Danio rerio: one gene and its partner. The protein of the gene in region 2 interacts with the protein of the main gene of each other region in a biochemical or structural test. Links are inferred from orthologs where the notes say so. Each region holds a gene or a part of one and is shown on either strand. Other genes may lie near its edges. The genes, in order: slbp and dcaf11.

Evidence for each region.
Region 1: the proteins of dcaf11 (region 2) and slbp form a complex in vitro, tested with the Homo sapiens proteins (2 studies listed by BioGRID, with this or other methods). The link is inferred for Danio rerio from reciprocal best matches to the Homo sapiens genes DCAF11 and SLBP.

Annotation. Positions count from the first base shown.
Region 1 is NC_133189.1:17,118,831-17,123,269, reverse strand, and holds the start of slbp (histone RNA hairpin-binding protein), read right to left. Parts: upstream 2,862-4,439; 5' UTR 2,774-2,861; coding exon 2,718-2,773; intron 1,828-2,717; coding exon 1,708-1,827; intron 1,503-1,707; coding exon 1,398-1,502; intron 1,258-1,397; coding exon 1,195-1,257; coding exon of another isoform or gene 1,191-1,194; intron 306-1,190; coding exon 156-305; intron 39-155; coding exon 1-38. UniProt on the Homo sapiens protein: RNA-binding protein involved in the histone pre-mRNA processing.
Region 2 is NC_133199.1:14,443,376-14,447,954, forward strand, and holds the start of dcaf11 (DDB1- and CUL4-associated factor 11), read right to left. Parts: upstream 2,897-4,579; 5' UTR 2,686-2,896; intron 685-2,685; 5' UTR 674-684; coding exon 498-673; intron 367-497; coding exon 239-366; intron 1-238. UniProt on the Homo sapiens protein: May function as a substrate receptor for CUL4-DDB1 E3 ubiquitin-protein ligase complex.

The DNA of each region.
Region 1 (4,439 bases), on a different chromosome or scaffold from region 2:
TTGGAGTCTTTGGATGAACACCTGGTTGTCTCAAATGCCTGAAAGAGGAGTTATATTTTAAGGTTCTGATGCTGTACAAAAAATAATTGCAGAAAAAAGATCTGGGTAGCATGACACATTCGTTAAAAAAAAAAAAAAAGCATGGTTTAACTCACTTTGGAACTTCTTTAATGTATCTGTCGTACGCAAGAGTATTTTTCCCGTAATTTATCTGCTTCTGTCTTCTGATGAGGGTGGTCTCATCGGTCTCGATGTCACCTTTAGCAGGCGACTCTTTCGAATCCCTAGAGTCTCTGGAGTCTGAACTGGGAGAACAAGAAAAGCTTGATTACAACTCAAGTCAAAATTGCTGTAAAACTTACTTCTAGATTGAACTTTTATTTGCTATTATACGCTTAAACAGGTAGACCCACCCCAAATTCACACATTGGGTTGTCCAAATTGAGGTGAACAAAATGCTCAAACAATAAGAATAGTGTTTTGATAGCACCACATTTATTACAATTGTTATTACTTGTATATTATGCTGGGACAGTAGTAGTGTTCATTTAATCATGTTTTCTAAGCCTGTGTCCCTTGTCTGATGTATTATATCTTAAAAGCATTTAGTGTTTTTGTTTTCTCAACTAGCCCTACATTAAATTAACATCTTTCCAACTATCCCTGAAGCATCATGTCTAGAACAGTTTTCTGTGCGACTTCACACAGCAACAGCAACGCATGCAGCATGACATCAATAGCATCTCTGAAGCAAAAATGGTTAAAAGCAGGCAAAGTCCTGGATCGGTTTCTTTGCTCTTCTTTTATTTTTATTTATTATAGAAGTATCGGATCGGTTTTCGTTAATCGCCAGATACTTAAAATTAAGTAACTCAAAAAACCTGATCGGGCCATCGCTACTGATTTATAATAAATGAACACTAGTCACACATTGAAAACTAATAAAAATGTTTCTTCCAAAGATAAAACTTTAAACTCAGTAAGTTATTTATTTTTGGATTAGAATCCTTTCAATGAAATATATTGTAACGTTTTTAAATTGATTTCACAGTTAGTGCTGGGGTCTCAGATTTAAAGGGAAAAGTTTGTTAGCTAATATTTTGCAGAAACAAACAAAAAAATGGTTTGACGTGGACAAATAAGAGCACCTTTTAGGGGAATAAGTCTAAATGCGACCCTGATTAAAACACAAACCTTCCAGATGAGATTTTTCTGTCTCTTTGAGGGAAATCACTCGCAAGAATCCTCCTTCTGTAACTGAAAAATAATAAATAAAATGAAGGATTTATCAGTGCCATGTACACCTGTATATTTGCAACATAAAATACTGTAATTGTTGTTAATGTAAAATTTACTTTGGCAAGAATTTTTTTTTTAATTCAAGAGAGGCAACTGACCGATGAAAATCACGCCGGACATTTGTGCGCATTTCCTGTTCCTCCACCTCATCGCCCCAGTTTTTTATTCTGGACACTGGTCCTTCACTCTCTGGGGTTGTAAAACTGCACAAAAAAAGACACAATTGTTCAGTAATAAGAAAATAAACCGACTATCATTTGTATCTCAGTTTAAAATGTAATGAAATTCATCAAAGAGGTCAGATTTGATGCATCTAATAAATCAAAATGTCAACCACAACCTAACAAAACTACTCCAGTTGACTCTCTTGAGAAATTGGTATGTTGTAAAGTCAATGCAAAATGTTACCTTTCTGATCTCTTCGAACATCTTTGATCTTTGCCTGGCTCTTCATCAGCATGAGACTTCCTCAGAATACCATCTGCTCCACGTTTCCTACACTGTGACCACCTTGAAGCTCCTTTGTTCCTTTAACACAAAATATATATACATTTGAAAAAAAAAAAGTGAAAAAGTGAATGTTGCACATAACATGAACACGAAATGCTAAAGCAATAAACACATGGATATAATTAATAAACATTTGGTGGAGATACAACTATTTAAAAATCTAGAATCGCAGAGTTACAAAAAAAATTTATCACAGAACTGATAAAATGCACATTTAAAGTTGTTTATACAGAGCTTAGCAAAGCATATTACGAATCAAAATTTGGGTTAATACATTTTCAGTAAGAAATGCAATTTACAACACAAGTCATCATCACTTGTTAATATTCCAAATATGCTTATGTATAATTACAAACAAATCTACTTCGTTACACACTTAACGTTAAAGGAGATGGCGACGGAAAACCGCGACTTCCTAATAACTAACAGTTAACGTACACAATGAGCTAAATCACTACTCGAAGAAACCTTTGTTTCCATGGCGCCACAAAATAACCTGCAGTCAACACACAACTCACTGCAAATAATAAAAACAACAACTTTTAGTAAAACTAAAATAAGTAATGCTGATTTAGGGAATCCAGAGGTAATGCTCGTATGGCGCCAACTCTCATTTACACTCTGAACACAACACAGAAGACTGGCGGGAGATCTTCACACCTCATTCATTATCTGCATAAAAGAGTCGAGATTTTGCAAGAACTAATGACCTAAAATAGTAGAAGAAGTTACAAATGAAAGTAAAAAGAATGTTTTATAGTCCAAAAACAGACAAAATAGTGAAGTACAGCAGGAACACAATACTTTGTTGTCTTGCTATGCTAGCAAACATCGGAGCCACAAAGCCAAAAAACACGAAAAGACAAAAACAACTGCACACACCACTAAATATAGTTTAAAATTCTTACCTGTCTTCACTAGATTTGTAATCGTTTTCGTATTTGTATTTTTGTTGTTCAGACATTGCTTCGAGAGGGTGTAAAATTGAACCTGCACGTACGATCAGCTGCCGGGTTTGGATTAAACCGCGCCAATGTCCTGCAGTGTACGTCAACATCGATGTCACATGACACTTAAGGGGCGGTGTTAGTGACGTATCTCACAACTTGATCCACCCACATACGCCGATCCACAAATCATGTGTACCCGTTCGTTAAAATCTGCAAAGACCTTAGAATCAGGTGATTCTAAGCTCTTTGAGGTCGGTCTATGGTTTATAGATCACATGTCGAGTTTAGCGCGTAACTTCTTTTTCCGTTTTAGAACGCCGTGGCGGGAATACAAACAGACGAAAGACCTGGGTCCACAAAAATAATTTTTTCATGTATTAAGAAATAAAGAGAAAAAGTAAGTCATGTAAGGAAGCCCCAAGAGGCCATGGATTAAAATATTTTTTCTCTCTTGTTTTTTCGTGATGACTTAATTATCTCGTGATCTCGACATAAAACGTTATGACAAACATGTCGTAATCACGTTTTTTTTGTTTGCTTTTATATATTTATTATTATTATTATTATTATTATTATTATTACTATTATTATCTGACCAATGTCTGACCAGTGAGTCTGCACCGGCCTTGTGATCAGGGAGAAAATAGCCTAACTGCTCGGGCTCACAATAATTTAGTCGTGGTCACGACAAAACAAGAGAGAAAAATATTAATGCATAGCCTTTTAATACTTCCGAGGTAATTTCCCGTCGTCGATGTGTTTCGGTTTAATGTGGCAAAAACACCAGTAATTTTTCTTTCTTTCAAACAAGAAAAATACCATTACCGTTTGTTTAAACCTTAATTCCCTTCGGATTTTAAGAAAAATGAATCACCTTAAAGGGACAGTTCAACCAGTCACGTTGTGTGATGTATGTGCTAATTTTAGGAACTTAATAAATGTTATACAACCTGTAAGTGCAACATATTCAAAAATAACAGGGGCTACTGAATACATCAGTGAAACGTTTTTTTCCCATTTAACGTGACTCGCCATTTAATTGCTCAAACTCGATTCGAGTTTTTTCAGTTAAACATAAAAGAAAACATTTGAGAAAATGCTGGTTGCCGCGACCCATTGACTCCCATTTTTTCTACAATTGAAGTCAATGCATCCCAGCAACCAGCATTCTTCAGAAGAGAGAAATTCAAAGGACTCAAACACACGCACACAAGGAAGAAGGAGCTCATTTTCACATTTGAGTGAACCAGCTTTTTAAAATGGACCCTATAAACCTATATGTCAATACAAATAAATGTGAATATTAGATCATTATTTGAGTGCATTAAGATAAGCAACGCATTATTCCTTAAAACTTTTAAACTCATACAAAACCAATTATTCTGTCAGTTTACTCATCCTTTATTTGGAATTTATCAGGATAACAGGATTTATCAATATAATTCAAGACTCTTGTGTAAATAAAACTTTATCTTAATTATTTATTTATCATCCATCATCTCCCATTCATGGTTTACTTTCCAACTATTATGCGTTACACACTCCTATCCAGTAGGAGGCAGAAATGTACCATTTAAAAAAAAACACGGAGACCCACTGAACTAAAGGTCTTACAGCTACAGCAATATACACTGCACATAATACACTTCAAGTTTAAAAAGTACAACCAAACACACTTTA
Region 2 (4,579 bases):
TGATTTAGTAAACCAGTATAATTAAAAAGATATGATTTTTTTCTCCTGGCTGTACCAAAAACGCATCTAAGCATAATGTTTGCATATTACTACACCCTGTGTTTTATCATACCATGTTAATAAAATAAAGTAAAATAAAATAAATAATGCATAATAATTTCTAAACACTGCACTGTAACTTGGGGTGTCAACTAAGTAAAAAAGCATAAATTAATCATGCACACAGTTCATTATTTACCTGGAGGGTCATATCGATGACCTAACCTCCCATCCCAAGCCCCATCACTGTCCTCATCAGAGTCTGAATATGACTGCACAAGCTGTAGGCCTGTTGCTCCACTTCCATGGACCAGACGTACCTGGCCCCTAGAGTAGACAAAAAGGTAAAACAATTTGCATTACCCATGTGGAGGAAATGCAAAGCAGGTTTACAATATGTTCCAGGATGTTTTACAGTATCTCCACTATCTCATAGGTTCAGAAGGTTATAGATTTACCTTCGCAGTAAGTACGCCAGAACTTGTGCTAAGTCAACGTCCTCTTCAGATCCTGACTGTCTCTCAGCCTGTGTACGACCCGTCTGATTGGCGTTCTGGTTGGCTTCTGGTTCTGACTGGTCTGGGTTGTTGCCAGAGCCCCGACCGGACATCCCAGAACTGGACTGAGAGCCCATAGACTGATTGTCTGCCAAATCATTGATTTATTCCACAGCAATACAGGCAATTACACTCAAGATGAAAAAGCAAGATATTCTATAAAAGAGTTTCTTCAAGTTTCACCAAGTTAAATGTAAGATTTTTAAGACATTTTTAAGACCGTTATGAGTTAAATTTTAAATTCATAAAGAGCCAAAAGCTTAGGATTTTTTTTATTGCCCAGGAAAAGATTTTTATTTGCCCTATCACTAATATATATTTTAAATAATTTAATAAATTTAATAATACAATAATAAAAAAATAAATTGTTTTATATATTTCTTAACAAGGCGAGGCAGTGGCGCAGAAGGTAGTGCTGTCGCCTCACAGCAAGCAGGTCGCTGGTTCGAACCTCAGCTTCATTAATTCATTTTCTTGTCGGCTTAGTCCCTTTATTAATCCGGGGTCGCCACAGCGGAATGAACCACCAACTTATCCAGCAGATTTTTACGCAGCGGATGCCCTTCCAGCCGCAACCCATCACTGGGAAACTTCCACACACACATTCACACACACACACACTCATACACTACGGACAATTTAGCTTACCCAATTCACCTGTACCTCATGTCTTTGGACTGTGGCGGGAAACCGGAGCACCCGGAGGAAATCCACGCAAACGCAGGGAGAACATGCAAACTCCACACAAAAACGCCAGCTGAGCCGAGGATCGAACCAGCGACCCAGTGACCTTCTTGCTGTGAGACAACAGCACTACCTACCGCGCCACTGCGTCATCTCACTGTCTTTTAAATAACTGTAAATGATATTATGTGCTTAAATAGTAAGAGTTCCAATCATCTGTGTCTTTCAACAATTACAATAGACCAGTAGCTTCCAGCAACAGTCCTGGGCAGCATTTGGTGATAAAATAATTGTGCTGCTTAATATATTCGGAGAAACTGTGACATTGTTTTTAGTCAGGCCATTTTAAAACTGCAAAAGAGCAGGAATTAATTTGAAATACTGTAATTTTACTTTTAATTATTTTAATTAATAAATTAATATTAAAAACATGTTGCCAAGTGAACTTTGATATGGTAGTGTATATGTACACAGTACACTTAAGTGAGTGCCAAAAAAGTTCAACCATTTACAAAACAGGACTTTAGAGAAGCTTTCTTATATATATATATATATATATATATATATATATATATATATATATATATATATATATATATATATATATATATATATATTTGCTAATAGCCATTTTCGTTTCATCCCAGAAATAATTTAGATATTACATAAGAATGAAGTTACATTAAGATATTTCATAAATTTCTATTGTAAATTAATAAAAACTGAATTTTTGATTAGTAATATACATTGATGAGCAATTAATTTAGACTTTGAATGTGATCTTCTTCTAATTTAACTCTCAGATTTTCAAATAGTTGATCCTGAGGATCCTAACAAAGTAAACATTAATGGAAACTTAAATATTATGATTCTGATGACTGACACTTCAGACGATTGCAAAATCGACACTGTTTTGACGGTTTTGTGGTCCAGGGTCACATAAAATAAATGATATATTGCAAACAGTGTTATTTTCCGCTTAAATATGTATTTGTCTGTTCAAAAACATATGTTTGATTAATGCAAAATGAATACCACCAAACTAACATTGATGTAGTTTATCAATTGAAAGGTAGGCCTAAGTCAGTTTTTAACATCATATTGTTTAATTGACTTCATTGAATTATGACATTTAATAAGCGATTAAAAATCAGGACAGTAATTGTTGACAATAGACTGTGATGTAACTTGACAGGTGAGCATGCTAAATTGACAGGCTAAAACTGCAAATGACATATTGCGAACATTTCATATAACGGTTTTATATTTACAGACCAGTAGTTTAAAAAAGAAAGATATAAGATTGTCTACGTATTACATCAAAACAGCACTTAAAACAGCTCATTCTTTAGAAGTTAGCGCTCACGCTAGCACTGTAAGCGACCTACAAAAGAGAGGCACTCACCAGTTAAATGGTAACAGCGCTTTGACAGCTCTTTTACCCGTTGGTTTGTTCCTGCAGACCTCGTTAAAAAAACAGAAAATAGTGTTTGCAAAAACTAAGTTTATATACCTGTACGTTCAATAAGCTTAGCGCCGCTGCTTCCCTGAGTTGTTTTTAAGACTCTCCTGGTTCGTGACGCGCCATGTTGTTTACGGTCTCGAGACTCGCCTGCTCACGTGACACACCGACGCTTTCCCACAGAACAAACACAAAGAGAGAGAATTTTTTTATATAAAGCCTTAATCAATAAGAAAAAAGATTATCATAAGCTTTAAGAAATTCATTATTCTTCTTATTATTAATAAACTTAAGAGATTCAATATTTTACGAAATTATATATTAAATTACTAAATTTAAGTATTAAATATAGTTATTGTTTTTAGGAACTTATTTTTGAGTATAAAAAATTTACAGTGTAACACAAAAAAAATTTACAATAAGATCGAGAGCATGATCATTACCTGAGAAATACAGAAATATATCTTCTATAGACAAATTTAAATCATGGGAATTTGTAGAATATACATAATGCAAGATCTTAAAATGTATCTCTCTTATTTTGTTGGATATGCTGAATTTTTCAGGTAATAACCATGCTCTCTTCAGTCAGAATATATATAATATATTCTGTATATAATATATCAGAATATATATATATATATATATATATATATATATATATATATATATATATATATATATATATATATATATATATAAACAAATGTGGATGCAAATAACCAAATGTGGATGCATTTTTTACAGATAATATTTATTACAGATGTTTAGATGAAACAGCTAAAAACTATATATTTTAGTTCAGAGAACCTACATTACAATCTAGATATAGCTCGATAAATGTGCTACATTTATATACATATTTATAGATAGCTTCCAGTGTATAAAACAGTGTTTTCTTTGTTCTTCATGTATTGTGACTATGAGGTGGTTTGATGCTTGAGGCCCCAATTCCCAAACCCCAAATCACTCATACAATAGTATAGAGATCAGTGAAATTAATCCATTTTGGTTGCACTGAGTTGAGTTGATTTCATTGGTTTGGTGGAGTTGCGCTTAAAGCCAATTCATTCATAGCCCTATTTGCTCATTTGCCAGCCTGTAAAATACTGTAAACAAATTTGACAATTTATAGTTGTCGCAACAATGTTTTCTGTTTATGTACACTTTCAAATTGCTTTATGAGACCTGGTGCTCTGCTCTGACAACATTAATTTTAAAAAATGAACTCTGCAGTTAAACAAAGAGATTTTATTGGAAATTGTAGAAGTGGATAATTTAATCATTTATAGACATCTGAAATGTAAAAAATCATCACAATATAACTTTAATAATGACCTAATTTTCAAAATTAAAAAGATAATTTTAAAATTGATCAAGATAATACAGTGTCAGGGATCACCATAGAGACATTAATAAATGACATTTTTGATATTATGACAAATTATATTCAGATGAAATGACAGTATAAAAAGTGTTGAGTAAAAATAATAAGATTTTGTCATATAAAAAAGAAAAAATATATATACCCCATTTTACCCATTGAACATAAAGTAGCTACAATGCATTTCAGAAATATCCTGTCTTAAATACACCATGTAAAAGAAAATGATAATTAAGAATTAGTTTAAAGATAATCAATTAATGACAAAACATTAAATGATAAACATCAAAACACACAGAAAATTCCAAAATTACTGCAGTTACACAGTTATTTTATAATTGTTTGCCCCATTGATGATAGAATGACGATGGAAGCAGACAGTGCATACAACATTGTAAACATTATGAGATTAAATTACATTACTAAAACATTATTAAATTATGAGATTAAATG